Linked DNA regions of Arabidopsis thaliana. The protein of the gene in region 4 purifies or fractionates together with the protein of the main gene of each other region. This does not show direct contact. Each region holds a gene or a part of one and is shown on either strand. Other genes may lie near its edges. The genes, in order: AT5G19485, AT2G44070, ATRPAC42 and AT3G07300.

What was found.
Region 1: the proteins of AT3G07300 (region 4) and AT5G19485 fractionate together in Arabidopsis thaliana (co-fractionation; one large-scale study listed by BioGRID). This does not show direct contact.
Region 2: the proteins of AT3G07300 (region 4) and AT2G44070 fractionate together in Arabidopsis thaliana (co-fractionation; one large-scale study listed by BioGRID). This does not show direct contact.
Region 3: the proteins of AT3G07300 (region 4) and ATRPAC42 fractionate together in Arabidopsis thaliana (co-fractionation; one large-scale study listed by BioGRID). This does not show direct contact.

The regions. Positions count from the first base shown.
Region 1 is NC_003076.8:6,571,816-6,580,149, forward strand, and holds AT5G19485 (transferases/nucleotidyltransferase), read right to left. Parts: upstream 4,720-8,334; 5' UTR 4,538-4,719; coding exon 4,472-4,537; intron 4,398-4,471; coding exon 4,302-4,397; intron 4,195-4,301; coding exon 4,117-4,194; intron 4,012-4,116; coding exon 3,931-4,011; intron 3,844-3,930; coding exon 3,624-3,843; intron 3,538-3,623; coding exon 3,479-3,537; intron 3,370-3,478; coding exon 3,320-3,369; intron 3,246-3,319; coding exon 3,158-3,245; intron 3,070-3,157; coding exon 2,818-3,069; intron 2,732-2,817; coding exon 2,639-2,731; intron 2,561-2,638; coding exon 2,456-2,560; intron 2,368-2,455; coding exon 2,251-2,367; intron 2,158-2,250; coding exon 2,092-2,157; 3' UTR 1,777-2,091; downstream 1-1,776. Other genes in the region: AT5G19480 (mediator of RNA polymerase II transcription subunit), read left to right, coding at 13-40, 129-421, 570-773, 883-942, 1,076-1,114; AT5G19490 (Histone superfamily protein), read right to left, coding at 4,954-5,379, 5,452-5,509, 5,612-5,722, 5,808-5,901, 6,005-6,077, 6,426-6,458; AT5G19500 (Tryptophan/tyrosine permease), read left to right, coding at 7,204-7,525, 7,608-7,648, 7,751-7,843, 7,928-8,002, 8,089-8,138, 8,227-8,316.
Region 2 is NC_003071.7:18,228,970-18,236,055, forward strand, and holds AT2G44070 (NagB/RpiA/CoA transferase-like superfamily protein), read right to left. Parts: upstream 3,662-7,086; 5' UTR 3,501-3,661; coding exon 3,480-3,500; intron 3,363-3,479; coding exon 2,518-3,362; intron 2,439-2,517; exon of another isoform or gene 2,421-2,438; intron 2,411-2,420; coding exon 2,356-2,410; intron 2,209-2,355; coding exon 2,128-2,208; 3' UTR 1,896-2,127; downstream 1-1,895. Other genes in the region: AT2G44065 (Ribosomal protein L2 family), read left to right, coding at 852-1,399.
Region 3 is NC_003070.9:22,396,368-22,404,524, forward strand, and holds ATRPAC42 (DNA-directed RNA polymerase family protein), read right to left. Parts: upstream 4,047-8,157; 5' UTR 3,918-4,046; exon of another isoform or gene 3,801-3,917; 5' UTR 3,789-3,800; coding exon 3,654-3,788; intron 3,353-3,653; coding exon 3,164-3,352; intron 3,082-3,163; coding exon 2,952-3,081; intron 2,865-2,951; coding exon 2,784-2,864; intron 2,693-2,783; coding exon 2,505-2,692; intron 2,407-2,504; coding exon 2,311-2,406; coding exon of another isoform or gene 2,221-2,310; exon of another isoform or gene 2,198-2,220; coding exon 2,104-2,197; intron 2,019-2,103; coding exon 1,902-2,018; intron 1,809-1,901; coding exon 1,711-1,808; 3' UTR 1,546-1,710; downstream 1-1,545. Other genes in the region: AGD2 (ARF-GAP domain 2), read right to left, coding at 4,877-4,991, 5,069-5,514, 5,653-5,743, 5,938-6,062, 6,285-6,545, 6,630-6,716, 6,800-7,009, 7,270-7,395 and 1 more.
Region 4 is NC_003074.8:2,321,979-2,330,671, reverse strand, and holds AT3G07300 (NagB/RpiA/CoA transferase-like superfamily protein), read left to right. Parts: upstream 1-3,012; 5' UTR 3,013-3,136; intron 3,137-3,247; exon of another isoform or gene 3,248-3,265; 5' UTR 3,266-3,291; coding exon 3,292-3,344; intron 3,345-3,422; coding exon 3,423-3,577; intron 3,578-3,659; coding exon 3,660-3,953; intron 3,954-4,451; coding exon 4,452-4,581; intron 4,582-4,704; coding exon 4,705-4,812; intron 4,813-4,949; coding exon 4,950-5,052; intron 5,053-5,131; coding exon 5,132-5,257; intron 5,258-5,337; coding exon 5,338-5,525; intron 5,526-5,632; coding exon 5,633-5,705; 3' UTR 5,706-6,055; downstream 6,056-8,693. Other genes in the region: AT3G07310 (phosphoserine aminotransferase, putative (DUF760)), read left to right, coding at 995-1,350, 1,865-2,615; AT3G07290 (Pentatricopeptide repeat (PPR) superfamily protein), read left to right, coding at 6,290-8,693.

The DNA.
Region 1 (8,334 bases), on a different chromosome or scaffold from region 4:
CAACAAAAAAATATGGAATCAGAGAGCGTTAAGTTTGGAGGTAAATTTGGTTTCCAAGCTTTGATTTTTGTCAAGTTTTATTATTTTGGGATTTGAGGGTCAATGAGCTTCTGGGTTTCTAAGTGCAGGTCCTAGAGAATTGGGTGGTGCACTAGATCTTATAACACAATACAAGTTGTTGCCACACCATGAATTCTTTTGCAAGAGATCACTTCCAGAGTCACTGTCAGATGCTCATTATCTTCATAATTTGGTTGGAGACACAGAGATTAGAAAAGGAGAAGGAATGCAATTAGATCAGCTTATTCCTAATGCATCACTTAGTAGCCGAGATACGAATGCTCGCATCCAACCTTTTGTTCTTGATGAACTTAAGGAGGCTTTTGAGCTTAATGATACAGCTCCTGTTGAATTGCCTCCAGTAAGAATATTGCTCTCTCTGTTTAGATTTTAACTTCCTGTAACATCTAGATCTTTTACTAACCATGATAAGTTGAATTACTTCCAAGTATCTTGTGATGATAGTTGAGCTAGGTTTGAGAATATGAGATCTCCTGTTCTTATTTCAGGCAGAGAAGGGAGCTCCTACCACTGTATCAAAATCAAAAAGTGAGTCAAAAGATAAGGATAGGAAACATAGAAAACATAAAGACAAGAAGGAGAAAGATAGGGAACATAAGAAGCACAAGCACAAGCATAAAGATAGGATCAAAGATAAGGATAAAGACAAGGATCGAGACAAAAAGAAGGAAAAAAGTGGACACCATGATAAGGTTATAAAACTGTCTGCTCTTGTTGGTACCTAGGCCGTCTATATATGTATATTTTGGATTCTTAAATTCGATAGAATTGACGTGGTATACGCTATCACTTTACTTTCAGAAAAGGAAGAACAATGGGACTGAAGATGCTGATGACGTTCAGAGGCACAAAAAGAGTAAGGTAATATACTAATGGCAATGGAGGCATCTCCTTCTTTTTAGTGAAGCTGAATTTAGAAGTTTCTGGTTACTCGCACATTGGTGTTGCTCTGCAAATTTTATTTTTGTCGGCCCTAAAATTAACTTTTTTGCAGCATAAGAGCTCAAAGCTTGATGAGATGGGAGCGATGTAGGTTGGAGGCTGAAGCCGTGCACACTTTCATTTTTGTATTGCACACCCAAGGTGTCATGGAGAGGCTTAGAAGCAGCTAACTTTGTTAGGTAACTCGGTCACTAGAGTCATCTTCTCATCTTTAGATAACGCACGTTTCTCATATGGGGCTGCGTCTGTCATAACCAACGGTACTGTACATGATGAATATGATTGAGTCAACAAAGCTATGGTTGTTTTAAACATGAAGAAATAATTATTGTCTAAGGCTTATAAGAAGATAACCTGGAACTCTAGCGACCGAGAGTGCACTAACTTTATTTTGGAGTCTCAAATAATTAGAAATGTTTCTATATGGTGTAGATTTGTCTCAACATAACATAAAATGATTTGGATTTGGTTTTGCAGGTTTAATCTCTAAATAAAAATTGCATTGTGGGAGAAGTTAGGAGGGGTTAAGCAACGAAAAGTTCGCCAAGAAGAATCACAACTTGTACATTTTGTTACACTTTAAACAAGCTATGAAGTTTATCTATTCTCGTGACTATTTAAACAGAAAGGTTTCATACATTCGAAATCATTTACTCTGAAATTTATCGAATCTGAAGGCATGTGACTTTTTGGGTGTATTCGTCTCTATGGAAATACCAAAAACAAAATTTAGATCTTTCAGGAAAGTGTTTTATCTCGAACAAAAGAGTAAATAATGAGAAGAACAAAAAAAGACATATGTAATATAACCAACGGAACAGAGAGAAGGGTCAGTGGCTGACAAAGTGTTTCAAGACTTCATGTATATGTAATGAATAGCAAAAGATCAAACTCTATCAGTAAAAGATACTAACGGAAAATCTCAAACTCTTAATCAACAAAACCCTTAGTGGGAAACTTTCCAATCCTTCACACTCTTCTCTCCTACCAAACGAATGACTAAGTAATGCTGCTTTTCATTTTAAAAAAGCGTTCCAAGATGTGACCTCATTTGCTTATCCTTCCTTTTCATTTTCTAGCAAAGGTCTCTCCTTTGTGCTCACTCCCGGCACAAACAACATACCCTGCTTCCACCTATAAAACCAATTGATGTTTTGATTATGGAATCTGTAAAAGCATTGATACGTAGGGGACACTGTATTATGAAAACTGAAGGGGGTAACGTACTTGGCAGTCTCTTAGAGTAACACGCTCTTGAAGCTGTGCGTTGCTGCAAATGACTGAGCCTTGTATTGAACATCCGTCTCCAATTGTGGCATGGTCCATCACAACTGAATTAACAATCTGCACCCACATATACAAGCAGTTGAGTGTCTTTTCGAGATGTACACCACCTTTCTTTGGCTGGCTTGAGTAAAAAGCTAATTATTACCTTCACATTGGAGCCTATCCGGCAATGTCTCCCAATTACAGATCTTTTGACACTGCATTTATCACCGACTTGAGAGCCTTCTCCAAGCATACAATGAGGTCCAACCTGCAACCCAAAAATTGTTATTCACGATCACAACTCACAGAACAAATGCTCAATATCTACACATGTAGAGTTACGTACTGTGGTTTTCGATCCAAGCTCAGCTGATGGGTGGACAATGTTGTGATGAGCAGAAAAGGAGTATCCAGATAGGTGGTTTGATTCACCAATAACCTGCACAAGTTTGAACAATTGCGGAGCTTCATAAGTCAACTGAGAAAAAAATACTGGAGAAGGAATCCCATGTGTAAACAACTTACATCTCTGTTTACGTCCATGAAGGCTTGAATGCTATTCAAGCGGACGAAATACTTACTTTCATCCGCTATATAAACACAGCATTTATGGGTTTTCCGGGTACCCAGACCTGATTCATAGACTTGATGAAAGCTTGGCATGGATGCGTTGGAGAGAATTTGAGACAAGACCACCTCGTTGTTCTGCATATTATTTTTTCCATTTCCATTCCCATTTTCTTCTACATTACTTTGGTCAGAGAAGACATCTGATCTCTGATACTCAAGGGGAAACCGCACAAATAAGGAATCAAAATGGTAATAAAAAAAAAATGGTCATTTGCAAGGACCGTATCCGACTAACCAGCTGTGTACGAACAAGATACGGTAGTACATCCTGTTTTAGGCTCCTAAAAGCAGGTTTTTGATCCAAAACTTCCTGCAGAACTGCTCTGTAAGACAAAAGAACATATTGAGTATCGACAGATAAAACTACTTTGATAGCAGGAAAGCAGATCTGACCAACCTCTTGAAGGCATATATATGAGAATCCATCAGATCTGATCGAATTTCCATCTAAATCGAAAATGACAAGATAATTAGAAACTGTACTAAGAATTTGTAATATATGAATCATAAAAAGATGCATTTGTAGGTAATTTCAAAAACTTAATAAGAACATTACCTTGCCAGCCGCACAGAGAATGCTCTTTTTTACTCGGGTATCTTTCTTAATCTCAGTACCTAACACAATTTCAGGAGGTAAACCAACAACAAGTTCAAGCATTTTGTTACCTCTAAGAAACATAAAGAAAAATTAAAAGTAGGACCTTTGGCTATGTATAACAAGAACTGTTTCAAGGAATCAAGCCCTATGATATCATCGCAAGCAGGTTTTTTGGTTTTATCTTTCCCACCAGAACCTCCTGATTCTGATGGCCCACTGACAGGTTGAGCACAAAGCATAACAGTCACTGCTGCATCATGCCTTCTATGAGTGGCGGCAACAGCACCAGGAGGAATATCAGAAACAATGTCTCCACTTACGATCTACGTCAAAGCAAATTACCAGTTAACTAGAAGCTCAAAAAGTTGCACAAAGCAAAAGCTACGAGACGTCTTTATTGAAAAGCTAACCAAAATGTCTTTGGCAGTTAAGTGGTGTGCAATTGCCCTGAGTGCCCCAGCAGTTCCAACATTCTCAGCAACAGCAGCAACCTAAAGTAAAATATCCAGCAGAACATTAATAACGAATATGACACTAGTTTCTTTCAATCATGCATAGAGTTTTACAGAATTCAGATGCCATAGATGAGTAAATACCTCAACATGTAAACGATCAACACAAGCAGAAGAAATCCATCCACCAACTTTCAAAGCAGCATCTTCCCCTTCAACAACCTGTTCCACCAATGCGAAACGAAAAAATCTGAGCTCTATTGAAAACATTCAACCTAGAAACTCGCAAAAGGAAATCAGTAATTGTATTGAAAAGATAAAAGGCGTACGACGATCAGATCCTTGAGATTACTACTCTCGAGAAGATCCAGAACGTAAGACAACACCGGACGATTCGCTACGGGAAGCAACGCCTTAGGAACTTCCTGAACAACAACAACAAATTAGCAATTCGTCGAAACTGTTATGCTGATGATGAGAGTGAAAGAGAGAGACGGACCTTGGCGACTAAGGGAACAAGATAACTAGAGAATCCGCCGGCTAGAATCACGACCTGGAAATCCATTGTCGCAGCTGAATTGACGAGAGAAGACGAAGAAGAGAGGTTTCTGCTTTCTGGGGTTTTGATTTTGAGAAACGGTAGACGAAGACGATATCAATTTAACCCGCTTGTTTCTTTCTTTTGGATCCGACGGGTCGTTCCATTAATCTTGGGTTATCTATCTCACTTAAATATTTTAATTAAAATTAAACATTAACAAAGATTAAACCATACTTTATGTATATGATTTTATAGTTTGTGTAAAGCTTGCTATCAAATTAGAAGAGATGAATGAAAAAAACGAAATTACATTAAAGAGAATGAGAGCAATCTCCTACATACACACTGCTTCTATAATATATAAGTGTGTCAATTCCTAAGTTGTTGTTTTCTTTCTCCTACCTTTAGTTTTAAGTCATTTCACCTAAACTGAAACTCTTTCACTCTTGGTCTATGCTTTCTTCATCATAATCTTCCTCGTCACTAGCACTAGCCTGTTGTTGATCATCAGGATCTATTTTCATTTCGTTAATCTCCAACGGGTAATCTGGACTTCTCTCTAGCTGTGTTTCCAGCCATGTAGCATTGTCTCCATTCTCATCTAATTCAACATTAAGATCGAAGTTCCTTACTTTTACCTCTGAGTTACTACTATGATGATTGTTGTGTGATGCAACTTTCTTCCAAGATGTATCGTCGTGAGAAAGGCTCCCGTTTTCGGGAGACGGGGTCCTGCTGCTTTCGGGAGAACCGTCTTCTAAATCTTCTTCAAATTTTAGAGACAGCCCACTTCCTGTTCTTCCACTACTTCGTCCGCGGCCTCTACCTCGCCTTCCTCTGCCACAGCTAGTATGTTTGACCTCATGCTGTAACAAGGCGAAACATATGCGTTAAGTAATATACAATTGTCTATTGGCAAAATAAGTCTGGCTAGTTACCATTTGAGTGGTCTTTATCATATCTTCATCGTTGCAACTACTTCCATCAACAACTTTCCTGAAAAGTCGAACAAACAAGTTGTTAGACACGATACCGATATCAAAATTAGGTAGATTGATTGCTGACATAGAATAGAACTATAGAAGAAGCGGGCCTAACCTTCTTTTGGTAGCTGATTGGTCTTCAGTGTCTGAGCCACCCAAATCAGGAACTTTAGCGACAGTGTCTCTTAGAAAATCAAAGACATTAGTCGCTTGCACACACTGCTTCCTGGAAAAAGAATAGAAAAGTATTGAAGAAGCAAGAAAACAATTGGTTTATATAAGCAAAATCCAAAGATGAGATTCACACTTACAAATGAAAGGCGTTGACAGTTTTAGCACCTCGGCTTAGAGTTACATCATACGTGTGATTACACAAGTCTTGTAAAAACAGCTCCAAAGCTTTAGCTGAAAAGTTAAATTCAAAACCAGAACAGATCAACTACATGTGACACAAGCTAACATATGAACAACGTTTGAGTAAGAAAATCAAAAACATCACATCACTTACAAACAAGAAGAGGGACTGCCATTGCTATTTTGCCAACTTCCTCATCAGTTTGCATAATCTTCTTAATCCTTGTCTGAAACAAATTTTGAACATATCAACACATACAAAATCAGACTCAGACACTAAGAAATTTCTTATGTAGATATCAACATCTTTGATTAGCCCTAAACAAGATATCTCTGCAGTTTATTTATATCTAGCCATGAACAAAAGAGCCCTCCAAGTCCAAAGATACATTCACAAAGATAAATTTAAAAACCTAATGAAGACAAGGACCATGGAACCCTGAAGAAGTAAACCTGAAATCATAGCAAAAGTTGAACCTAACTACTCTCACAACTCACAAAACAGAGTTCATGGTTATCTCCATAAGAAGAAGAACATAACAAACTATAAAACAGTGAAAAGTAATGTTTCATACCGCTGGAAAACGTGTCTGGAGCTTCTTCTTCATGCTATTGTTTTACAGAGGAATAGCAGCTTCCAAAGTCAAGGGGAAGAAGATAAAAACCCTAATTTTGAAATTTGTGTTGCTTGCTTCCGTTCTCTCTGGAATAAATAACAAGAGAAAATCAAATTAACAAATATATATATTGATTCCATCAAACACGACAAGAAAAGGAAAAAAAATAAATTCCTTTGGATCTGTTTTTTTCTAGTTAGAAATTGGTCTCTGTTTTCTGACCCGTCCTTGTCGGACCCAAATCATACGCAATTGGACCTTTTTTCTCCCACTCTTTTTTAATTTAATAATGAGATCTTATATTTTATTTTGCTTTTCATTTAACAAGTTTTATGTAACAATTATTTAATTTTGACAGCATGTATTATGTAACATTTAATTTGATTTATCACATGATATCTTAAGAAACCATAAACTCAAAATAAATAAAAATTATTTTTATAGAGTAAATTGTAAATTATACTTTATGTTTGCATTGCTATTCTTTTACTTGCATACAACTTTTGTATCATTGATGCAAATAGTATTTTCTAAAAGCAAAATAGAAGCATAAAATGCATAGATTTTAAATTTAATTGGGAAATAAAACTTCAAAAATAAGACAGCCACACATGTTAATCTGGAAGCTAAGCTCTCTCTAACACAATCTTTTGACTGTCGGAAGTCGCAGAAAACAAACCAGAAGACTGATCATAGGCTTTTCATAGCTAGTGTCTGATATCAGACAAACACAGACATGTCTGTGTCTCTAAGCTACACTTGTCTTCTTAGATTACCCACCTTTTCAGTTCCAACGAAACCCATTAGTTTCAATGGACCTCTCCCTTTTTATCTACCAAGATCTCATATTTCCTCATCTTGTTTTGGTTTCAAATCAAACCCATTCATAAGAACTCAGACCCCAAGATTCTTCAAGTGTTTGCCTCAGAGAGTGTCTGATGAACGCAGAGAAACACAAGTAACAACAGAAGAAGAAGAAGAAGATGAGGAAGAAAAGATTGTCGTATTTGAGAGGCTCTTCTCTAACCTGAATCAATCAACATTGAAGCGAGAATCCGGTACAAAGACTGTTACCATTTTGCATGTGAATACCCAAATTTGGATAGAAATTTTTGGTTTTTAAGTTTTAGAAATTTTCAGGAAGTTTGTCCAGTGCAATTTTCTTGGTTGCTGGCACTACCGTAAGTGTGTCTACTTTCTCATAACTCTGTCCATATTCTTGTTGAAACTATGCAAGGAATCAAGTTTGTTTTCTGCTAAACTTTTATCCTTTTCTTGATTAGGTAGGTGCAGGGATACTTGCGATTCCAGCTGTGACACAAGAATCAGGTTTTCTAGCCTCTGCAGTCGCCTGCATTCTCTGTTGGGCCTTCATGGTGATGATGGATGATTCTTCTTATCTCTGTTTTATGTTTCTTGCAAGTAACGGATTGGTCATTAGTAATACATGTTGGCTTCAGGTTGTGACAGGTTTGCTGGTTGCAGAAGTAAATGTCAACACCATGAGTGAACTAGGCTCTGGAGGCGTATCTCTTGTATATCCCCTCAAACCAATACTTCTATGAAAACTTAGCTTAGTTATTATGTCTTTAAACTCAGCTTTGACATGATATTTTGGCAGGTCTCAATGGCGAAGCGGACTCTTGGGTCTGTTGGAGTTCAAGTTGTTTCGTAATCATCCTCTCATTCTCACTTCAGAACTTGCTTTCCATCACTGTTTCTTTCATTTAAACTTGAAACAAGCCTTTCTGTTGTGTAGTTGGTCTTATCTTCTCATACATTACACCCTTCTTGTGGCTTACATTGCTCGGTCATCAGGCATCCTTACCAACTTCCTCGGCATTCCGATGTATGAAACTCCAATTGA
Region 2 (7,086 bases), on a different chromosome or scaffold from region 4:
CTCTTTATTCTAGATGTATGCTTTTGACAGACTTTTCAAGTTTTCTCACTCTTTGCTTTGAACCTTGAATGAATTTGTTGAAGAGGTGATATATGGGTTGTGAAATGGTGTAGGAACATGGTTGCACTGTGAGTTTTATAATAATAGTTAAAGCCATTTTCCTTAGGCAGAGTATTGTTACAAACAACAAAACATTGAGTAACGTCTATTGTTATGTTAGCCTCTTCTATTTAAGTGGTCAAGTTGATTTTTTTTCCTATGTTGTGGGTTTTATCAAGCTACAAACCTCTTCTAGATGGATTAGGAACTGGATGAACGAACTTACTTACTTCTGGATTAGATGATGAGCTAGTGTGAAAGTGCGGTTGCTTCTTTTTGTTAGATGATAAAAGAATGAGCTTGTATCACATCGGCTCTTCTTCATAAATTAGTCTTGGATTAAAGATTGAGCTGAAAACTATGCTACTTCAAGTTAAGATACTATGTAACTAGAATAAGTTTATAACTAGGGCCTAAGCTGGGATCTCTGCAACTATGGTGCTATTTGTATCTAATTCTTCTCCTAAGTCTCTTGCTAGCTGGATTATATTCTTTTCCTATAATTAAGATTGAGCTCTGTGGAGTATCATTGATTGATGCATGTAGCTACTTTGTGGGACTTGAGTCTGTCTAGTCTATAATTAAGATTGATCTGTGTGGAGTATATACATCTCAAAAGTGACTTAACCTGAGGGATTTGGAGATCCAAAGTTTCAATCAAGCTTTTTATTTTTTGTCAAAATCCATATCTTCTGTTTTGTGTGCGTTTTATTTTTTGATAGAAAGCCTCTATCTCTGTTGGTGTTTTGCAGGTTTTGCTGATACACAGAACAAATCATTGGTAGCACAAATGAAAGAAGAGATGCTCCACATGGACATCAACTCAATGATAGGAAGTTCCATGCCACTAGGTATGATGCGTATCGGAACAATCATCCACAACATCGAGATGAACCCAGGGCAAGGCGCAAAGATGGTCCGAGCTGCAGGAACCAACGCCAAGATCCTAAAGGAGCCTGCTAAAGGGAAATGCTTGATAAAGCTTCCGTCAGGGGACACCAAGTGGATCAATGCCAAATGTCGTGCTACGATTGGCACAGTGTCGAACCCGTCTCATGGAACGAAGAAGCTATATAAAGCAGGACAGAGTAGGTGGTTAGGGATAAGGCCCAAAGTTAGAGGAGTGGCGATGAATCCGTGTGATCATCCACACGGTGGAGGTGAAGGAAAAAGCAAAAGTAGTGGAAGCAGAGGAAGGACATCGGTTAGTCCGTGGGGAAAACCGTGTAAAGGCGGTTACAAATCAGCTAGTGTCAAGAAGAAGAAGAAGCGTTTGGCAGAAGCAGCAGCCAAAATGTGATATGGGTGAACAAGTTTCGATTTTCTTCAAACGTTTCTTTCTTTTAAAAAGCCTCCAATGTTATTTGGTTACGTTATTGAATCTGTTTTTTGAGAGTTTTTTAGGCTTCATGAAACTAGAAGATCTTTGATCAGTTGAGAATAAATATGGTTACGTGTTTACTTTTATTAAAAAAAAAAAATCGAATTCAAACGTTTTCATCATAACAACGTTTAAAACAATGCGAATTTCTTTTTTTTATATATATATTAAAATCGTCGAAATCAAATTTGAGAGATTTATATGCTTATACTAGAGAAAAGGGTCTAAAAAGAAAAGAAAAGGAAACAAGAGAAAGAGTCAAAAGGTTGGAACAATATGATGCATTGAATCAATCCCCACGATAAAAAAAAAACATTCAGCAAAAAAAAACATTCAGCACAAATGTCTTCTTTGACTAATTAATTACCCCAAAACATTAATCAAAAAAGTGAAGAAATCAATTTGACATCTTCCTTGGTCTAAACAAACAACCAACTATTGAAAAAGTTCCTTATAGTGGTTTTTGAAAATTGAAACAAAAAACGAGAATGGTATTCTATAGGGAAAATAGTGAAAGAAGCCCACAGAATTGGAATAAGGAATGAGAATTAGATGTAACAAACAACAGAACAGCAACCATGCCTTATAATCTTGGGTCCTACTCCTCCATATCATTTCATTTTTATTCTTACTTCTATTTTGAGCATCTAAATAACAATCTTTGAGCTTTGAAGCAAGTGTTCTTTCTGATATTCTCTTACGATGACAGGCACACTTGTGGGAGGTACCTGAAATATAAAACATGGTCAGTGTTCAATGGTTTGAGATTCTGAATGAGTGGAGAAACTGTGTTGCATGAGTTATGTTTAGGGATGAGATCACTTGATCACCATAATGCTATGTTTTTAATTAAGAGCCGATATGATTAATCTTACCATGCCATAATCTGTGATTATCATGGAAATGTAATCTGAAGGTGTAGCATCATACCTATCATTAGAAAAAAAATCACAAACGGGTTTAGTGGCAGGCAGAGAAGAATAGTATTAACAGAACATATATAGTTTCACTTGTACGATTAACACAAGCTAGCTTACATCAAGTTCAGAAACTTCAGCTTTGCATTGTTGGTCAAGCCATTTAAGTAGTTTATGTCTTCTCTTCCATGAACTTTTGAAATAGCATTTGGATCACCGAGCTCATTGGAGCATATTGAATAATCCAACTGCACCTTCTCATGGAACTTATAGGCTTCGCAACAAACAAGCACAGGAACACGGAAAGCATTAGCCACCATTGCAACACAAGCAGTGCCAACCCTTGAGTAAACTGTTCCGTTAGAAAAAACTGATGAGGCGCCCAAAAACACTTTGGTGACTTGGTGCATGATATATGATATGGCAGTTATATGAGTGTATGTACAGTTAATGCCTCGTTTGATCAATCTACGAAGCAGTAGCTTCCCTTGAAGCTTTGGTCGAGAATCCACCACAAAGACACGAAACTTTTTCCCGAGTTCATGTGCATGCACTAATATCATCTCAATGACAGTGGAAGATCCGTAGGTCAGAAGGACATCACCGTCTCTTATTTTAGTGACAGCATGTTCGACTATCACTGTATCTGCACCTATGATTTTCTCGTTAATGAAACGTTCAATATCTGAGTGAAGAGAAGCTTTTGCTTCAGATTCAGAAAGTGTTATAGGCAGCTTTGCAATCCTGTTTTTCACAAATCGGATTGCGTTTCCCATGCTAATCGAAAGCGGACGGCATTCTATGAGGAAAGAGACGTAGCTACTTATTTGAGCAGTCATGTCTCTATTAAGGGTATTCTCAGGCGGCGTCGAGTAATCTTTAACAACCTCTTGGAATGCTTGGAGCATCGCAATACATCTGGCATTGCCACCAGAAATATCCCAAGAAAGATAATGAAGACCAACCTGATAACCACAACAACGTCATACTCATTCACTAGACAAGTAACATTCATCTTAATGAGCAACCACTTATTAAAACAAAGAGATTATATAATTGTATATTACAAGCACTAACCATACCTTGTACACAGCAGAATGCATAGGGTCAAGAAGTTACGATTTTCTCAAATGCTTCTTCCTTTAAAAAGCCTCAAGGTTTGGTGACGTTATTGAATCTGTTTTTGAGAGTTTTAGGCTTCGTGAAATTGGAGGATCTTTGATCAGTTAAGAATAAATATGGTTAGGTGTTTCCTTTATTTAAATATCATCGATCGAAATCAAACGTTTTCGTCATGACCACGTTTTAAACAATGCGTTTTTTCCTTTTTTTATATACTAAAACTGTCCTAATCAAATTTGAGAGATTTTTATATATATGCTTATGTATTACTAGAGTAGGGCTCAAGTAAAAATTCGAGGAAAGGGTCTAAAAAGTATAATTCAGAAAACGAATAAAAAAGGAAACACGAGAAAGAGTCAAAAGGTTGGAACAATGCATTGAATCAATCCCCACGATAAAAAAAAAAAAAAAAAAGAAACATTCAACACGAATGTCTTCTTTGACTATTATCTATTAACCCAAAACTTTTAGTTATATATACATTTTATCTTTTTGATGAAACTTTGAATGCTGTAGGCTGTAGCAGAGAACAATATATTCTTCAGCAATATTAGTTTTAAGACGTTCACTGATAGATTAGAGTTAGAAATTAGTCGGTATTAAACCAAAAAAAAACACACACTAGTATAATACACTTGACCGCATAATTTTGCTTCCACTTGAAAAGTGAAGAAATCTATTTGACATCTTCCTTGGTCTAAACAAACAAGCAACTATTGAAAAAGTTCCTTATAGTGGTTTTTGAAAATTGAAAAAAAAAAACAAGAATGGTATTCTATAGGGAAATAGTGAAAGAAGCACATAGAATTGGAATTAAGATTGAGAATGAGATGTAACAAACAACAGAGCAGCCAGCCAGCCACCATCCTTGCAAACTTGGGTCCTACTCCTCCATATCAATTCCTCATTTCATCTTTATTCTTACTCTTCTCTTTAATCTTCTAATTAACAATTTTTGAACTTTTCATGTTTTGGTACATAACCAACGAAAAAAGAAACAAGTGACGTACAAAACACAAGAAGAAAATGAAATTATCTTAATTGATTCTGACCTAAAGAATTTAACATTTTCTCTTTCAAATCTTTTGTAGCAAGGGAGGTGAAACGAAAACGAATCATTAAGATACGTGCAATGAATCCAATAACCTCTATGACTAGCAGATGCATGAATTTTATTTTTGTGTTTCTGTTATGCATCTTTTTAGTTGCTTTTTAAGTCTGGTCATATCTTCGCTCAGACTTCACTGATGCAAAGCTGGATACAAAATCGACAAAAGTATATGTCCCCATATATTCCTATCTTTATACTGAAGAAAATATATACTTTAGCTTTATCTATCGCACTACTTTAGTCTTTAGAGTTGATTTATCAATTAGTTCCTAAATCAACTAATGCACATGATTTAATGTAATTAATTGTCTCTTAATTGTACGGATTAGGTGATGAAGATCCACCGTCCACCATGGCTGTAGTACCTAATTAATACCGTGTAAACTTTAAACCACGGGTATTACTTATGATTGTTATTAGAAAATAACATTAGCTTACCTCAAAAAAAATGAGGAATTTGTTTTTGATTTCTAGCAAAAAAAAAATGAAACCAAAAATGATTAGACGACTCTTTTGTTTGTAGACACAATAAATAATATAGAATTTTTGTAAGAAATTAATAGTTTAGAACAATATGCGTGTATTCAAAAAGAATATAATTAAGAATATTTGAAATGATTAAATACCAATATTATTATATTAGTTTATATTTTTAAATCAAATTACTCAATTACAAAAATAATACATTAGAAAATGATTAATTATATTTTTCTAAAGTGTTATAAAGACACCATTTCCTAACGGTATTGATTTTAGATAATAGAAAACAATAATTTGTGAGGAGAAAGTATTTAAAAGAAAACAGAAAAAGAAAATGTATAACGTAGAAGAAAGGTGGCTTTAGATTGGAGAGTTGTACGAGGAATATTAATAAGTCAAGTTGGTCGAGATATGCATTGAATCGATGGGAACGAGCCACGTGACAACGACATGTGCCGTTTCATCCACATTACATACCTTTTGAAATTATTGCTTATTTAATTCTTCTATCAACATTTTTTTTGCTTATACTTATTTTCTTCAATATATCTCATACCACTAACAATTAATAAAGGCTAATCTTAATAGAGAAATAGAATCATTCGTTTTAATAAACTCAAGTATATGTGATGAAACTGTGGGCATATCATATAAACTTGTTATTGAGCATAATAATTCATCTTATTATGTCCTACTATGCATTATGCAATGTATATAATATGAATTTTTTGTTGAATATTGTTGCAGGTCCACTATGTTCCACTAGACATGCAATCTAAGGGAGGGTTTGCGATGTTCAAGGCAATCATGCATGGGTTGCCATTTCTATATAGCTTTCCCTTTCTACAATTTTTTTCTTTCTAATTTTCTAAAAATTAAATATACACACACTATGGATGATGGATTAACCAATAGAATCCAAGGAATTACGAGTAAAAAAAACACCCTCCTATAGTTCACCTATATCTTATATCTTTCTTGGTTTTGGCTACGAATTGAAATCTTTTTCTGATTTGGATAAGAGATTGCGCTCTCTGTATACGTTCTTATATATATCACTATAATCAAATATGGGTTTTCTATAAATCTGTAAGGCATTATAAACATATGTATCAATATATTCTTAACTGACATTTAGATTGGTATAAGCAATGTTATTTACCTACATATTATCTATTTGTTTACATAGGAACTGGTGGCATCGATCCTAACCATAAGATCATGAATACAAAAAATCAAAGATATCGAATCAAGTACATATCCACAAGATAATTTGAATATCTTTTAAGATCGGGAAGATATCACTATGGTGTATATGCTATTTATATAACTGATCAGTTATATATAGTTGTTAAACTTTGTTCTAACAATTTAAAAGTCTGCATCATCTTTTTATTGACGTTAATTAAGTTTTGTTTTTGTTTAAAGCGGGAGGTGAAGTTTTGTTGTAATTATGTCTACTTGAGCCATTATAATTGTAGAATAGTAATGTCATTTCCATTGGGAGTTTAGCTAGTAGTTGACGAATAAAACCATTTCTCCTTTGTAAAAAAAAGTAGAAAAGACGTAATCAATAGATGTTATACATGCGATTCATTGAATTTGGATAAATAAGTATTTTGGATTGAAAAAAAAATAAAAAATGAGTAGTGGATTTTGGTAAGCTGTCAATTGGTTAATACCAGAACGGCTGAAACTAAACTGCTTGCGAAAATTATCATGTCCCTCTTAATTAAACACCCAACGAAAAGTACTTATGAATATATCCATTAGATATTTTAATTATTACATTTTTAGGCTGTTAAACAAATAAATTATATCGGTTTACCTGAAAGATAATGAATGAAAAAAAAAAAATCTTAATATATTATTTTATGTGTTTTTAAAAATAATAAGCTGTCTTGTATTTTTAACAAATAGCATTTTTAATATAGTACGATATTTAATACTATATCACTTTTTTGTTTAAATCATAC
Region 3 (8,157 bases), on a different chromosome or scaffold from region 4:
TGCAAGCTTTATTATCAATGTACTCGTTTAAAGTGCTTAAACCGTTAAACGTTTCTTGTTTTCTCTTTAGAACAATGAAGAAGAATACGGAGTTATGGACGAATGGTGTGGGGAAAGGAAGAATTAAAATAACCACTAAACTCTTGCACACACATTATGCACTGGTCTTCTGTATTTAGAAATACTTTCTCTTGTTATAATTCAAAGATACACAAACTAATAATTACCAATTCAATTTACAAAATATAGTGTCAAAGAAAAAGATCAAAAAGATTCAAAAACATTGTTTTTTTTAACAATGGCTGGTCATAAAAAGAGTCTTACCCGTCTTTTCTTTGTTTCAGTAATTGATTATATTATCATTGTTCAGCGGATTAGGAGAAGGAAGCAAATATATAAACTATAAAGATATGATAAAAGACAGAATTCCAGCTTGCGGCAGTAAAAGCCCCCAAAGAATGTGTCAAATTTCCAGTCAACCTTTACCATCGTGGTTGTGAAATTGCTACGCGTTATCGTCGTGAACAACATCCGGATTCGGGTTAAGAATATATGTATGATATGATATGTCTAAACCATTTTCTATAAACTATGAATTTTTTTATTATTATTGATGTGATATTGTATATCGTCATACCGTCAAAATTTAATTATTGTAAGATACTTTTGTTTTATTTTGTAACCTGGAATTATTTTTTTTTATATACTAATAAATTAATATGTTACCATGCATAGCTTAAACTTCTTGTTAAAAAAAAAAAAAAAAAAAAAAAAAAAAAAAAACTTCTTGTAATAGTGGTATTTACTTGTAAATCATAGTTAGACGAGTATTTTGACATTTGGTAATTGAATCCGAAGAACTTAAAATTGTTTGGTCAAAACTTCTAAACTCTTTCAAAAACTCAGCACCCCTATTTGTGGTTATGTTGTAAAGATCCACTAATAACCAATAAAACATGTGAGTCTTGTGATATATTGTAAAACATGTTCGTTATAAAATTCACAACCACATTGTCGAACTTTGTTTATATTCCCTTATCATAATCAGTCTTACTATTAGCATAATCAACTGTTTATGTACTGATGTCTTCTAATTAGAAAACTTAAAAAGGTAAAGAAAAAATAGAAAAAGAAAGAGCTCAGTTAAGAGGCCATATCACCAGATAAACTGGAGAAATGCAAAGGACCCAACCTTTACAGAAACCGATTTCATCACAGCTCTATTGCACCAGCCGGGAATCGAACCCGGGTCTGTACCGTGGCAGAGTACTATTCTACCACTAGACCACTGGTGCTACTTGTTTAAATGTTACTTCTTCAGTTATTTATACATAAACTCTCATAGTTCATATTTAATGAGAACATTTTGTATAATCTAATGTGGCAGGGATCTATTCTACCACTGACGCTATTTTAAGTGTTCAATGAAACCAAAAACTACTATTACCAACACACACCTTGATTGGCACAATGTAAGGAATGGCGTCAGTGTTCTAGTGGTAGAATAGTAAAACCAAATTAAACCGAAGCAGATTTCCAAAATTGGTTCAGCTAGGAATTTTGTTATGAATCAGAACTCAGAAGGCTAATGAAAATCCAAATTGAACAACAACCGTATAAATAAATATGTCAATGTTGTTTGTTGGTAATTTATCAATAGGAGGAGAAACATTGATAGACAGACAATTCAAAATTGAACTAAACCAGAACTCAAAAGTCGGTTATAGCTTCACATTTAGCTTCCAATATCTTCACAGCTTCAGTGAAGAGAACCTCTGGAGGCAGTGATCCGGTGGACTCAATGTTAACTGAGAAAAAAGACGACAAGAAACTCAATTACGATATCTTTCAGATCATGAGTAGCAGAGTAAAAGGAATGGGTTTTATTTTTCTCTTCTTACATATAAAATGGTTCTTAACACTGCCAAGATCCACATGGTCTACCAAATCATCGTCTCTTACGCATTCCTTACACAATGTGCACTTACGTGGCTGCGCTACTGTTGCCCTTTTCTTACCTGTTTTCCACAAGTCAGTATGAAATCAAATTTAAGTAAGTCATGCAGCCAAGTTCATCAGCTTGCATAAGATTTTATACTTCACCTTTTCCCATGTCTTCAATGTCGAAAACATTCTGTGGGCAGACGTTTACAAGTCGTTCAGCAAGTTCATCCTCAACTTCCCCACGTAGAACCACCTAAGATAGTATAAACAAAAGCATTACGAAACATATATATTGGGATGAGGAAAGACAAAACAAAGAGCTGTTTCCCATAAAGCATATGATAGATTGATGTATATACTTCTCACCTCAGGATGCATTCTATACCAAGCAGTCCCTACTGGAGACCACTTTGCATGTGTTTTACCAATGCCCTTAACCGCATGAGCTTCGAGCTCGATTTCCTGGGAAAAAAGAGATAAAAGAAGATGCACATGTTTCATCTCTCATTGCAAGTATGGTCTGCTTGGGTGTATATAAAAAGAATGTACAGAAACACTACCTGACCAGGGGCGAGTTTTGCTATCAAGATATCGAGGTCGCATGGAGTGATAGGATTATTAGCAAATTCAGGTAATGAATCTTGGCTGCAACTGAATGAAGTGTAAGTTTTTGGCTTTGAGGTTTTATTTTCCGATTCTCTCAGAAGCTCACTTCCATTTGGTAACCATTTTAAATCACTCGTTAAAACTACAAGAAAACGAAATGATATCTTTCATGAGAGATGGAGCTGATAATAAAACAAGAAATCTTCTGATGCTAACTAATGAACATATATTACCTTTAAGACGTGGTCTATTTTTCGGACATTTCACATGGAGTTTGAATACAATGGTGTTCTTTTCATTCGCCTGATCATGTTCTATCATACACAGATAAAGAAGTAAGCTAATCAGAAGAATTATCATCATATGTAGATGGATCACATACCACTGAAATATATGCTTACCGGATAAATATTCAAAAAGTCTTGGATCTGCGGCAATTGGAATAAGACCCATCCTGTGAGCAAGAACTTCGTCTATAATAACCGATGTGTTGTACGCTATCAACACTTTTTCAATAGCCATTGAAGGAACCTGCAATAAAGAAAGAAGCACTTTAAGCCAAAGATTACAACAATGAGGGATTCATCAGAGGTTGTATGAAAACTTGACAGACCTCAGCTATAAGGATCCTTCGGAATGCATTGGCAAACGCTGCATCAATACCAATCATATCAAATTCCATATCTGTCTTTGTGAGACTAACCACATCAACTTTGAAGTTATCATAGAAGTTTCCTAGCTTCACATTGTCGTCCTCTTCCGTAGAAGAAACATAGGTACCCGAGTAAATGGCACTCGCAGTCTACAGAAAACACAAACACAAGATTAAAGACTTCAAATTTCAAACAATCACTACTCAATATCATCTTGAATTTGAAAACAAAAGGTGTATTCTGGTAAAACACTTAAGAGCCAAACTCGTAAATTCACAGCTTTTCACAGGAAAAAACAAAACTTTTACTCTGTATCATGAACACAGCAACGATAGAACTCAAACCCACATGGGATCATTGAGAAAAGCTATAAAATTTGTAATTAGATAAGCTTATAACCAACAAAACAGAGCATAAAAGATTGTAACTTTGAACGAGAATAGTTCTTACATGAGCAGGAGCGTTGTTTTTAGAGACGACACGAGTTTGCTGGGCTTTGAGATGTGGAGGAAGTCCGGCAGGGACGTCAGGGAGATCGTCTATGTTGAAATTTTTGGCGAATTGTTTTTCTGCTTTAGTCACCATCCTTGTCTAGGTCTATAGCAGAACTAGGGTTTATCAAATTGAGAAAGAGAATTGAAGGGTTTAACAAAGGAAACCACAGGGGGTGAGGAAAGTAGTATTGGGTCAAAGAGTGAAGTCGAAGAAGCTTACCTGTGGCCGAGAGAATTGAGCAATTTAGAGAGAAAGAGAGAGTAGGAGGCGGCGGCGAGGAGATGAAGAACAAACGGTGAAGGGTTTTGAAAAAGCCGCCGGTTTTATTTAATCCCTTAACTCTTTCCGGTTCGAATTAAAACGCATTATTACCAAAAGAAACAATAAAAAATTCATTTCAAAAGAATACTTCTTCTTTTTTTACATTTCAAAAGAATACTGTTTAACACTAAAAATAAAGCCATTACTTTAAAAAATAAAAATTTATTCCACAAGATGAATACTTTCTTTTGCTCATGATTTTGTTTTATAGCAAAAAACAATAATAAGAATTTATTCTTTTTCGGTGAATTGTTTAATTTAAAAAAAAAAAAAAAACTTTTCTGCAATCAATTCGCAGCATATTGGTTAAGCTAAGAATATAAACTAAAAACATATGTAAACAACAATTCTAGGAATGACTCCTTTTGTTTTTGGCATCTACTGTGAATGATAGGCTTTTTTGAACTCTAATTAATATTGGTCAAAAAAAAAATGTCGATGGGACTCTTCTACGTTAGTATCTAAGAATGTGGCAATAGCACTACTTAATTTAGAGCAAAATAATAGAAGAAAACACGACACTTACTTCATCAAATTTTTGTTGGGCAATGAGAATGTTGTCTATAATAAAGTTTCCGGCTACAAAACACATATTTGTATCTCGGATATCAAATACAGAAGAAGAAAAAAAAACTTTGAGGTGCAGGCTTAGAATCTTTGAGATCATCTTATGTATAACATTACAAAGGCTAATACAGTAGGTCGGAATCTTGACATTTCCTAGAGTTCTATCTCCTTCGGGAATTAGGTAAATATTGGAGCATCAATGCGATGAGCAAGTCATGACCAAATACTACAACAGTTACAAGTTACATTCCTTTGCGTAGCAATCAATCAGCAAATGGTATATTGGTAATTTACTGACACTCTGCTAATAGAAGGAAGAGCTCTTCATCGGTTATGGCTCCCATCTCCATTGCCCTTTCCAACACACTTAATCCTCCACCATCCTCTATTGATGGACGAGCACCTCTGTCAAATTCAAAGAAGAGAGACACTAAGTATCTACTCAAAGTGCCCCTCATGAGATTTATTAGTTAGTGTGTTACCTTCTCAGCAAAACCTTTGCAAATGCGTTGTTCCCTGATGCGATGCAATGGTGTAATGGAGTTCGTCCGTGGTAATCTCTCATGTTTATGTCAGCCCCGAACTGCAACAGCAGTTCAAGCAAGATTGGGTCACCGCTTTGACACGCCACATGCAACAATGAGCAGCCTTGAAGACAGTTTCTTGCTTCGTTCGAATTCTTGATTCTCTGACACGCATTTGGATCGTGCCTTTTCTTTACTTCATCTGGTGCATCAACATGGTGGTGGTGATATACATCAAGGTCAGTAATATCATCGAACTTGGTATTGATGATATTTGCATCTGCTTTTACAATGAGTCGGTAGATGTCTCTTATGTTCCTGCTTTGAACCGCTTCCCATATTCTACTTGAGGCAGTAGAATTTGCTTCTCTTTCATCTTTGACAACTAGTGCTTTCTCCAGGTACTAGCTAGGCATAAACATTATCAGCTTTAGTATCATAAGCCTTTTCTATTCACAAGAATATGCTCATTTGGATGATGCGTCAAGTGACATGAATCTGAGGTCTATGTATGCGAAAACTTTAAGAACTAAATCTCATACCTTTCCGTTAATATATTTCTCCTTCAGAGTAAACCAATCTTCTGAAGATGGTTTCGAAACTGATGCAAGTGTGTCTGTCGATCCCTTTTCACTGTAAATATTCAACAGAAGATAGGATCATAGGAAAGTAAAGATCACCAATCTCATGATTTTACACAATTGGGAAAATAGAAACTTGTAAAAGAGGAACAGATGATTTTGATTCAAGGAATGTTATTTCTTGATTGTGTTATAGAGACAGTCTTTACTTATATAAACAATCTAATTTTCCTTGAGAAATTATACCTGTCATCGTCAAGGTGATGAAGTAGCTCCTCCCAGACTGAATTACAGTATCCGTTGCCTAAGTTCCGAAATAAGTCCAAGATTGTAGGCTCCCATACTTTCACATCCAATGTGAGCGATCTCACCTGCAGACATTCTTTGACATTAGCTAAATATCTAAGCTTCATACACAGATGTTTAATTCAGCAAGAAATATAAACACTTCATCTTAAAAAATTGAGCTCTGCAAATTTTGGTTGATGCAAAGATATATAGCACATGGTTAGCTTTACAACAAATGAGCTTATACAACCTCGAACTAAATGGAAAGAAGCTACGCAATATCGTACCAAAATGAAGAAATTTACCTTGGATATATGAACGCCGAGATTCCTGTGAACACCAGAGCATTCAATGCACATCAAAACTCCAAGATTCAATGATGCCCAATCGGGGTCAGGTGCATTGCATTCTGCACAAGTGTTATTTCCAGGAATTTCTCTGAGTATTGTAAGGACGTCATCCCCCACATTTAGTCTTTGATTATAATCTTCTTTTTGATTCAGGGTGAGGTTTTCAGTGGCAGGACCAGAACTAGTATTCTTTTTATCCAAGTATCTTGCTGGTGACTGCAGAAGATATTAGATTCTATAACAACACAAAATTTTCAATTTGAAGGTAAAAGAAAAGTATGAGACTCATATTGAGTAAACCTGCTGCAGAAAATGAGAATTCAGACGTATTGTTATAGCTGCTGTGATCTTATTTACCCAATCCATCCTATCAGCTCCATTTTCAGCCTGTAGCATATAGAAATAAATTGTGTTGGCCTCTTGATGCTATATTTGCTCCTTCACGTTTCTATATCTAATAAATTTAGTACCTGTAGTGTGTAAGTCTTTTGAGGAGATATAATTCTAAAACAGAGTCGAAGATCTGTGTCCTCTGCGTCCAATTTTATCAGTGAAGTACGGAGATCGATCATATTGCAATCTAGGCTTCCCTGTGAAGCTGATCGATTGTGTCTTGTACGAAATCTCCCAAAGACGCCGCTACTATGCTCTCCTAAACCACTGTAGTAATGCTGAGATTTCTATAAATAGAAAAAGATGATTAGAAGGATAGAAACTGAGAAAGTGAAACTTAAAATAAAAGAATACACAGGTGAGAGAGATTTGTTTAACAGTCAACAAATATAAATATAGCCAAGACATGAGGGAGTGCTAGTATATCTACATAACTATAAAAATGTACGAAATTGGACATTGGAAATTGAACTATAACCAAGTCTCAAAGAGCTTATGGATCTCTTTCATGGAAACGAGGAAGTGAAAAGGAGCTTGGCAAACATACCGCTGATTTATTACCGGTGTTTCTGTAATAGTATAGGGATCCATGGTTGTCAAGCACAAAGAATCTCCTTTTCCAATCAGCTCTCAAACTAGCTGATCGCTTTAATAGATACCCTTGTTTAGTTACCTGCATTAGTACACAAGACAAAATAAGTAAGACATTAGCCTGGACAAGAACTGAAGCAGTGAAGTGTATAGCTAATCACCAAATGAGTCATCATAAATCTCAATGTCTACATGGTTGTAAAGCAGTATTATATCTAATAACAGAAGGCCCAAGTCTTGAAGCCAGAAATATTCTTTGCGAGCGCAACTCAAATATTGACACTATTACTTTAACTTTATAAGCATCTGAATGAGAGCTGGATTAATTGTGTCAGTTAGAAAACAACAGTAGGGTAAGCAAGATCCTGTCAATATAAATAGCCATATTCAGAAACAGCGACCATTATATCTTTGGACAAACTATGCCACTTCTAACCATTTTCCGGTGGCAAGACAAAACTTAATCCATTTCTTTACCAGAGAACCATTGGAACAATTTGTGAAAACTATGGTTTGGAGAACCTTACTTCCTTGTCTGCTGTTGAAACTGAGTTTGCTTCTACGTTTTTACGGGGGATAGCTCTATAAACATGGTTTCCACCAACATCGGAGGGATCTGCTTTAGCAGAGGCCTGTTGGCTGTCTAATTCAGATTGAGTCCTGAATTCTTGAATGCGTTGTGCAAATCGATCTTGTTCAATCTTAGACTGTTCTTTTGACTGTTGTGCGTATGTCAATACCTGTAAGAGGAAAAGTAGCAGTATTAATGAATTTTATTAGAGAAAGCTTTAAGTATCTTTAACTGTTAACTCTCTAAGTCTGCACATCACTATTTCTCTCTTCG
Region 4 (8,693 bases):
ATCCAAGCGATGACAACTACATTTCAAGTATCATTGTAGTTTGATAGACTAGTGTTACACTAAACCTAATAAATATACCAATCAACACACAATGAACCCTTGTTCAGGAGTAATAAGGGTTCAAATTTGCAACTCTTTTGTCAAGGGAAGGAAATAAATAATCAAATTGTTAGCCGATGCATGATTGACGAAAAGTAGGGGTGTTTTTTACAAATAAGCTAAGATGGCTTTAGAGGACCACCAATCGGTCCAATCCTTTAACACTCAGAGCCTGAGGCAGAGAACACGATGGGTCATCTTATATTTGTTTATAAAATTGCCAATAATTGAGATAAGGTATCATGATTCATCAATCTAGCTAGACTGTGTGTACCATACATAAACTATAACCCATGTGTATAAAATATACAAATATCTGTGAACATCAACCACCTAACTATAATGAATATGAAAATCATACGACTAAACTAATTTACGTAAACTATACTACTTTGAAACAATTATTCATCAAATTCTCTTATACTATTAATTGTGGTTTACTAAACTTCCAAGTTTTATGTTTTACTAATCCTGTAAAATTAGACTTTAGCCGAGTCCGTTTGAATCTAGGATTTTTGAAATTTCCAGGTGGCTCAAAGCTAAAGAAAATGTGAATGAGAAATGATTTCAACGAAAATAAGATTTACATAATAGCCAATGACATATATGCACTTGTCAAGTTGGAGTTAAACAATAACCACACACCGAATTGAGGAGCCCATTGGAAAAAACAGAAGCAAATATATTTTTATGTAAAAATAGAAACGGAATAATATAGTAACAAAAAGATACTCTCTTCAACCTTATCCATTCTTCGCCACTTCTCCCACTAATCCGCTAAATCATTCTTCTTCATCTCTCTCTCATTCACAATTCCCGAAATTCTCTCAAATCACAGATCCTTTTAGGGTTTTTCCACTGTTTCTAGGTTTTTTTTATTGCTCAAATCTGATCAATGGATAGTTGTCTCTCTAATCAAACGGCGCTTCAGTTTCTCCCGTCGCGTTCCAGGAGACAGAGCGGCGATGGAGGCGGTGGTTTTGTTATTCCGGCGAAGAGGAAGATCCAGTATAGTTCGATGGTTGTGGTTGCGGCGGCGGGACAGAGTCGGTGTGAGCCTGGAAGCAGTCTAAACGCGCCGCTTGAGCCACGATCGGCGCAGGGGAGGTTTCTGAGAAGCGTGTTGCTAAACAAACGGCAGCTATTTCATTACGCCGCCGCTGATGAGCTAAAGCAACTGGCTGATGATAGGGAAGCTGCTTTAGCTCGTATGTCTCTCAGCTCTGGTTCCGATGAGGCTTCTCTCCACAGGTCCGTGAAACCTTTCCTTATCTAATCTCTCACAATTCAAAGATCCGTAAACAGCTGTAGAATTATAAACATACAAAGAAATATGTGTAAATCATTACTTACATACTCTTATTTAATCGACCACAAATCAGTATTTTATTAGTATTTATCACATAAGCTTGTAAAGTTTGATTATAAGTTGTTTGATGGTGTTTATCAGTTTATGATGATTTGAGAATCACACTAATGATATGGTTGAATTGAAACAAGAGAATTCTGTAGTTATGATCTTCAGGTGCTTTCTCATACTCTGCCTTGTGAAGCAAGTTTTGTTTTAGTGTTTGATAAGGGCTGGTTTTGCTTTTTTACATTTCATTGTTGCTTAGTTCGTTAAATAGTTTCCGTATATTTTAGTTTCTTGCCTGTGTTAAACTCTCTGACTTGCTCAGGCCATTTTATGCTCTGTTTGTGAACATTTTCTCAACTATCTTCTGCTCTTTTACGAACACTAACACTCTGATTCCATGGTTGGCAGAAGGATAGCTGAACTCAAGGAACGCTACTGTAAAACTGCAGTCCAAGACATAATGTACATGTTAATCTTTTACAAATACTCCGAGATAAGAGTCCCTCTTGTTCCAAAGCTATCCAGATGCATCTATAATGGAAGACTCGAGATCTGGCCTTCAAAAGACTGGGAGTTAGAGTCAATTTACAGCTGCGATACCCTTGAGATCATCAAAGAACACGTTAGCGCAGTCATCGGATTACGGGTCAACTCATGTGTGACTGACAATTGGGCAACAACGCAGATACAGAAACTGCATCTCAGGAAAGTATATGCTGCCTCGATCTTGTACGGTTACTTCTTGAAATCAGCTTCCCTAAGGCACCAGCTTGAGTGTTCCTTATCAGATATTCATGGAAGCGGATATCTGAAAAGTCCCATCTTTGGATGCTCATTCACAACGGGCACTGCACAGATCTCCAACAAGCAGCAGCTGAGACATTACATCTCAGACTTTGATCCCGAGACATTGCAGAGATGCGCAAAACCAAGGACAGAGGAGGCAAGGAATCTGATAGAGAAGCAAAGTTTGGCTCTTTTTGGCACGGAAGAGAGTGATGAGACCATAGTGACATCGTTTTCGAGTCTGAAGCGGTTGGTTCTCGAGGCTGTGGCGTTTGGGACATTCCTGTGGGACACGGAATTGTATGTAGATGGTGCATATAAGCTGAAGGAGAATGGGAATGCAGAAGAACAAGAAGGAAAGAAAAGCATATGATGAACAAGTCTGGTTAGAAGAAAAGCTTCATGATCTTCTGGTAGTGTATATATAGAGAAATGTTTCTGCCGAATCTCTCAGGCAGTTGTTCAGTTCAATGTATAGATCTTGCTTAGAAATATTTTGATTTCTGAATAAGAATGTGGTGTGGTTATAAGGAATAAGAGATACTGTAGTTGGGTTCAATTTTATGTTATGTGTTAAGTTTCCTTGTTCAATTTGATCTTTCTCCTTTTGTCAAAAGACTCAAAACCTCAAAAACAAAACTAAAATTTGGGTCCCAAAGAAGCTATGCAAAGGGAAGGAGATACTTTGATAATGCTTGTATTTTTGGGCTTATTTTAGGCCCAAATAGCACCTTATTTCGGCCCAAAAGTTAGACCTACCAAAAAACCTTCAATTGTCACTAGAGCGAATGAATGTAAAAATCTGGTCTCCTATTATCAATTCCGTTTCTCTCTCGCCGGAAGATTTTTGCTACTTCATCTCCTTATCGCCCCACCACCGTCACATATTCACTGGTAAGCATATCCATTTTGCTTCCTCATCTTCCACATTAGGCTTCTCCCATTTTCTTCTTCCTCCCGCCGCGAATCGCGCGTGATTAGGGTTTATGAAATCTAACGCCTCAGGTTTCGCATTTTCTCAAGTTTCTCGTTAATTTCGGTTAAAGAAGATGCCAGACGTTCAATCAACGGTGGTGGAATTTGTTAACAAGCTCAGAAAGCGGTAAATTCTTTCTTTCTGGCTTAATTTCGTAAAACCCTTTGTGAATATAGTTGCTGATTGGATCATTATCTCATACAGTAAGATTGAGGGCTCACAGGCTACAGCCAAATACACCGTAGAGCTACTTAGGTCAGTAATTTCGCATCAGCGGGTGCCTCACGCTAACCAAGCTGCCGCTCTTATCGATGCTGTGAAAGCTGTTGGTGAGCAATTGATCGCTGCTAATCCTGTTGGTATGTCTTCTTAAACTCTCTTTTTGCTTCTTCTCTCTTAGTCTGTGAAAGGAATTGATATATACGGATATGATTTTTGTAGAGCTTGCGGTGGGAAATGTAGTTAGACGGGTTTTGCATATTATAAGGGAGGAAGATCTTTCTCTAACTACAGCAGCTATGGGTGGTTTGGACTTGTTGGATGCAAGTGATGATGATGATGTAGACAATTGCAAAGGAATTGGGTTTCCTGCAATGTCTGCAGCAGTTGTTGCAGCTGCAGCTAGGAGTACATTACGCCCTCCATCTTTGCAAACGCTTCTCGAGGGCACTCCTGAATCTGCAACTGTTCCATACACATCTTCATCTGGTGCTGATTCCGAAAGCAAAAGTAAATGTACCTTTTTCATGCCTTTGGCTCTCCTTTGCACATACTGTTTTTTTTTCAGTAGGTCCTTATGCCGTCTGTTTTACTGATGTCTTTGATAAACCATTGAAGATAAGTGTTATCGCTGGAATTTAATAATGTTGGCTCATATTCTCTTTTACAAGCTGATATATAAGGTTTTCTTTTTAGCTATCGTAGACAGATTTAGGTCTCAGTGGTTTTGGTTTTGCTTTAGGGCATTTAGGCTTGGGAGAGTTTAAGCAAACCCTATTTTACTGGTTCCTGTAGTTTTGTTGCTGGAATTACCTGTGAGTTTGTGTTGTGTTGCTGAGTTATAGAGATAAATGAGAATCATATATGTTCTTATCAGTCTACTTTTTTAGGTGGTTCGTCTCACTTTATTGGGATTATATCATAAATGAACCATAGATCAAAATTTTATATGGCAGCAAGAATATTTTACTGTTTTTGGTTGATATTAATGGTCTAATATACCCTTTTGTTTAGCTGCCGATAAAAGTTCGTTAACTCGGAAGCTGAAGCATGATGTTATCGAAGGAGTGAATCAACTTATTCAAGAGATTGCTGGTTGTCATGAGCAGATCGCTGAACAAGCTATAGAGCATATACATCAAAAGTACTTTTCTTTTCTATAGCATTATTTATCTTTAACATGTTATACATGGAGAACTAAAATGGTCGTTTCTCAGTGTCTTTTCGTGATGATCACTTTTGTATTGCCTAAATTCTATTTTTTCAGTGAGGTGATCCTAACCCTGGGTAGCTCAAGAACAGTGCTTGAGTTTCTGTGTGCTGCAAAGGAGAAAAAAAGATCTTTTCGTGTATTTGTTGCCGAAGGTGCTCCAAGGTTTGGTTTCTCCCTTTACTATATGTTTCATCATTACCATTGTTAGTGTTTTCTCTCAACATTTTTATATTCTCTCTGATTTGTCCATCTAACTCAGCTGTATCAAATTTTCTTCCATTTCTATTCTATTATATTAGATATCAGGGCCATCTATTAGCAAAAGAATTGGTAGCTAGAGGTTTGCAGACAACTGTGATCACCGACTCTGCAGTGTTTGCTATGATATCTCGAGTGAATATGGTACAATTCATTCCTACCCAACTTTATGTTTTCTTGTCCTTGTCTTCTAAATAATTTGCAATGATGTGAAAATGCACAGGTTATAATTGGAGCTCATGCAGTGATGGCTAATGGTGGAGTTATAGGGCCAGTTGGTGTCAACATGGCTGCTCTTGCAGCACAAAAGCACGCAGTCCCATTCGTGGTTCTTGCTGGTAGTCACAAGGTTGGTTTCGAGTTGTATTTAATTTCTCAAACTGTTTTTTGCTCTCAAAACTTGACTTAGGGTTTCCAATGTAATAACAGTTGTGTCCCCTCTATCCTCACAATCCGGAAGTATTACTAAATGAGCTGAGATCTCCATCTGAACTGTTGGATTTTGGTGAATTCTCTGATTGCCTGGATTTTGGAGCAGGTTCCGGGTCTCTTCAAGTTGTCAACCCAACATTCGATTATGTCCCACCAAACCTTGTTAGTCTCTTTATAACAGACACGTAAGTCTCCTATATATAATCTTTGCTATATTCTTAGGTTGGTCCATTTTCATGGCATTACTTTTTTGGATAAAGGGTTGGTGATAGCGTTACCTTTTTGGTTACAGGGGAGGACACAATCCATCCTACATGTACCGTCTTATTGCGGACTACTACTCTGCTGATGATTTGGTGATGTAGCGATAAAGGACTAGTTTTCGGTCACTTGGTGGGAACTATACAACATTCAGTCGGATAGTCGGTCATTCACAATTGAAGAATATATGTACATTGCACAAAAACAGTTGCTCAAGGATTGTGAATGAAAAAGAGAAACATCTTAGTGTCTGAAATTGTCAGGCCAAGTTTATTTTTGCCGTGTCTTGGGTAATTCCTTTAGCTCAGTCTCAATGGTGTCTATTGTTACTTGATAGTATACTTCTCTTTCAACACAACGTTTTTCTTTGGTTGGCTTTTGTATTTGCTAATACGAGAATTACCACTGGAGGTGGACAGGACATCTTATTTTAACTAATTAAAGTTTTGGGTGCAATTTTACTTGATAAGTGTGAGGCGATGCATTGGTTCGGTACGGTTCAATTTCAATTACCTCATAACCGGATCACTATATCTTCGCCGTGAAAATATTCAGACAGACGACAACACCTGCATAAACACCATTGTTCAAAATAGCCAGAGAGATAAAAGTAAAACCCTAAACCCCACTAGTTAAAGTTAACATTTTTATTGTTTCTCTCCGGCTCCTTTCAATCTGTGTACTGTGTATGCTGCTGATACATATCAGAAGTACTCGAAAGATCTTAGCTTTGGGGCGTCATGTTTTTCCTTCTAATGCCTTCTTCTCCGTCTCTTCTCGACCTTCTCTGTCTTCCTCGGACGAAGTGGCGGCTCATGATGTCGCATCTTTGCTAAAAACCCCCAATTGGGAGAAGAACAGTTCTCTTAAATCTCTAGTCTCTCACATGAATCCAAATGTCGCTTCACAGGTCATTTCGCTTCAACGCAGTGACAACGATATTTGCGTTCGCTTTTTCATGTGGGTCTGCAAGCATTCGTCGTATTGTTTCGACCCAACTCAGAAAAATCAGCTTTTGAAACTGATTGTTTCTTCCGGATTGTATCGAGTTGCGCATGCTGTTATTGTTGCGTTGATCAAGGAATGTAGTAGATGCGAGAAAGAGATGTTGAAACTAATGTATTGTTTTGATGAGCTGAGAGAAGTTTTTGGGTTCCGGTTAAATTACCCTTGTTACAGCTCTCTTTTGATGTCCTTAGCTAAACTTGATTTAGGATTTTTGGCTTACGTGACTTATAGAAGAATGGAAGCTGACGGATTTGTTGTTGGTATGATTGATTACAGAACCATTGTCAATGCTCTGTGTAAGAATGGATACACGGAAGCCGCTGAGATGTTCATGTCTAAGATTCTTAAAATTGGGTTTGTGTTAGATTCCCATATAGGCACTTCTTTGTTACTGGGTTTTTGCCGTGGATTGAATCTCAGAGATGCACTCAAGGTGTTTGATGTAATGTCTAAGGAGGTAACTTGTGCACCGAACTCTGTTAGTTACTCCATTTTGATTCACGGGTTGTGTGAAGTAGGGAGACTTGAAGAAGCATTTGGCCTAAAAGATCAAATGGGTGAGAAAGGTTGCCAACCAAGCACACGTACATATACTGTGCTTATTAAAGCCTTGTGCGATAGAGGTTTGATTGATAAAGCTTTTAACTTGTTTGATGAGATGATTCCTAGAGGGTGTAAACCAAACGTCCACACTTACACTGTTTTGATTGATGGGTTGTGTAGAGACGGAAAGATTGAAGAGGCTAATGGGGTTTGTCGAAAGATGGTTAAAGACAGGATATTTCCTAGTGTAATAACTTACAATGCGTTGATAAATGGCTACTGCAAAGATGGACGGGTTGTTCCCGCTTTTGAGCTTCTTACTGTAATGGAGAAGAGGGCTTGCAAACCAAATGTAAGAACTTTTAACGAGCTTATGGAAGGGTTGTGTAGAGTCGGGAAACCGTACAAGGCTGTGCACCTTTTGAAGAGAATGCTGGACAATGGCCTGTCACCTGACATTGTGAGCTATAATGTTTTGATCGATGGGCTTTGTAGAGAAGGCCATATGAATACGGCTTACAAGCTACTTAGCTCGATGAACTGCTTTGACATTGAGCCTGATTGTCTTACATTCACCGCTATAATAAATGCTTTCTGCAAACAAGGGAAGGCTGACGTTGCTAGCGCGTTTTTAGGTTTGATGCTTAGAAAAGGAATAAGCCTAGATGAAGTAACAGGTACAACTCTTATCGATGGTGTCTGTAAAGTCGGTAAAACCCGTGACGCATTGTTTATCCTGGAGACATTGGTTAAAATGAGAATTTTGACAACTCCTCACTCCCTGAATGTGATTCTTGATATGCTCAGTAAAGGTTGTAAAGTGAAGGAGGAATTAGCAATGCTTGGGAAAATCAATAAGCTTGGTTTAGTTCCTTCTGTGGTGACATACACAACATTGGTTGATGGGTTGATTCGATCAGGTGATATTACTGGTTCCTTCAGGATCCTAGAACTGATGAAGTTAAGTGGGTGTTTGCCGAATGTCTATCCATACACAATCATCATAAATGGTCTTTGTCAATTTGGAAGAGTCGAGGAAGCAGAGAAGCTTCTTTCTGCTATGCAAGATTCAGGAGTTTCACCAAACCATGTCACTTATACCGTTATGGTGAAAGGATATGTCAACAATGGAAAACTAGACCGTGCTCTTGAAACAGTAAGAGCAATGGTTGAAAGAGGATATGAACTAAATGACCGTATCTATTCTTCATTGTTACAGGGATTTGTCTTATCTCAAAAGGGTATTGATAATTCAGAAGAGAGTACAGTTTCCGATATTGCTCTTAGAGAAACCGATCCTGAATGTATCAACGAACTCATATCTGTGGTTGAACAACTTGGTGGGTGTATCAGCGGGTTATGTATTTTCTTGGTCACACGGTTATGCAAAGAGGGAAGAACGGATGAGTCCAACGATCTAGTCCAAAATGTACTCGAGAGAGGTGTTTTTCTTGAGAAGGCCATGGACATCATTATGGAATCTTATTGCAGCAAGAAGAAACACACCAAGTGTATGGAGCTGATAACACTTGTTCTCAAAT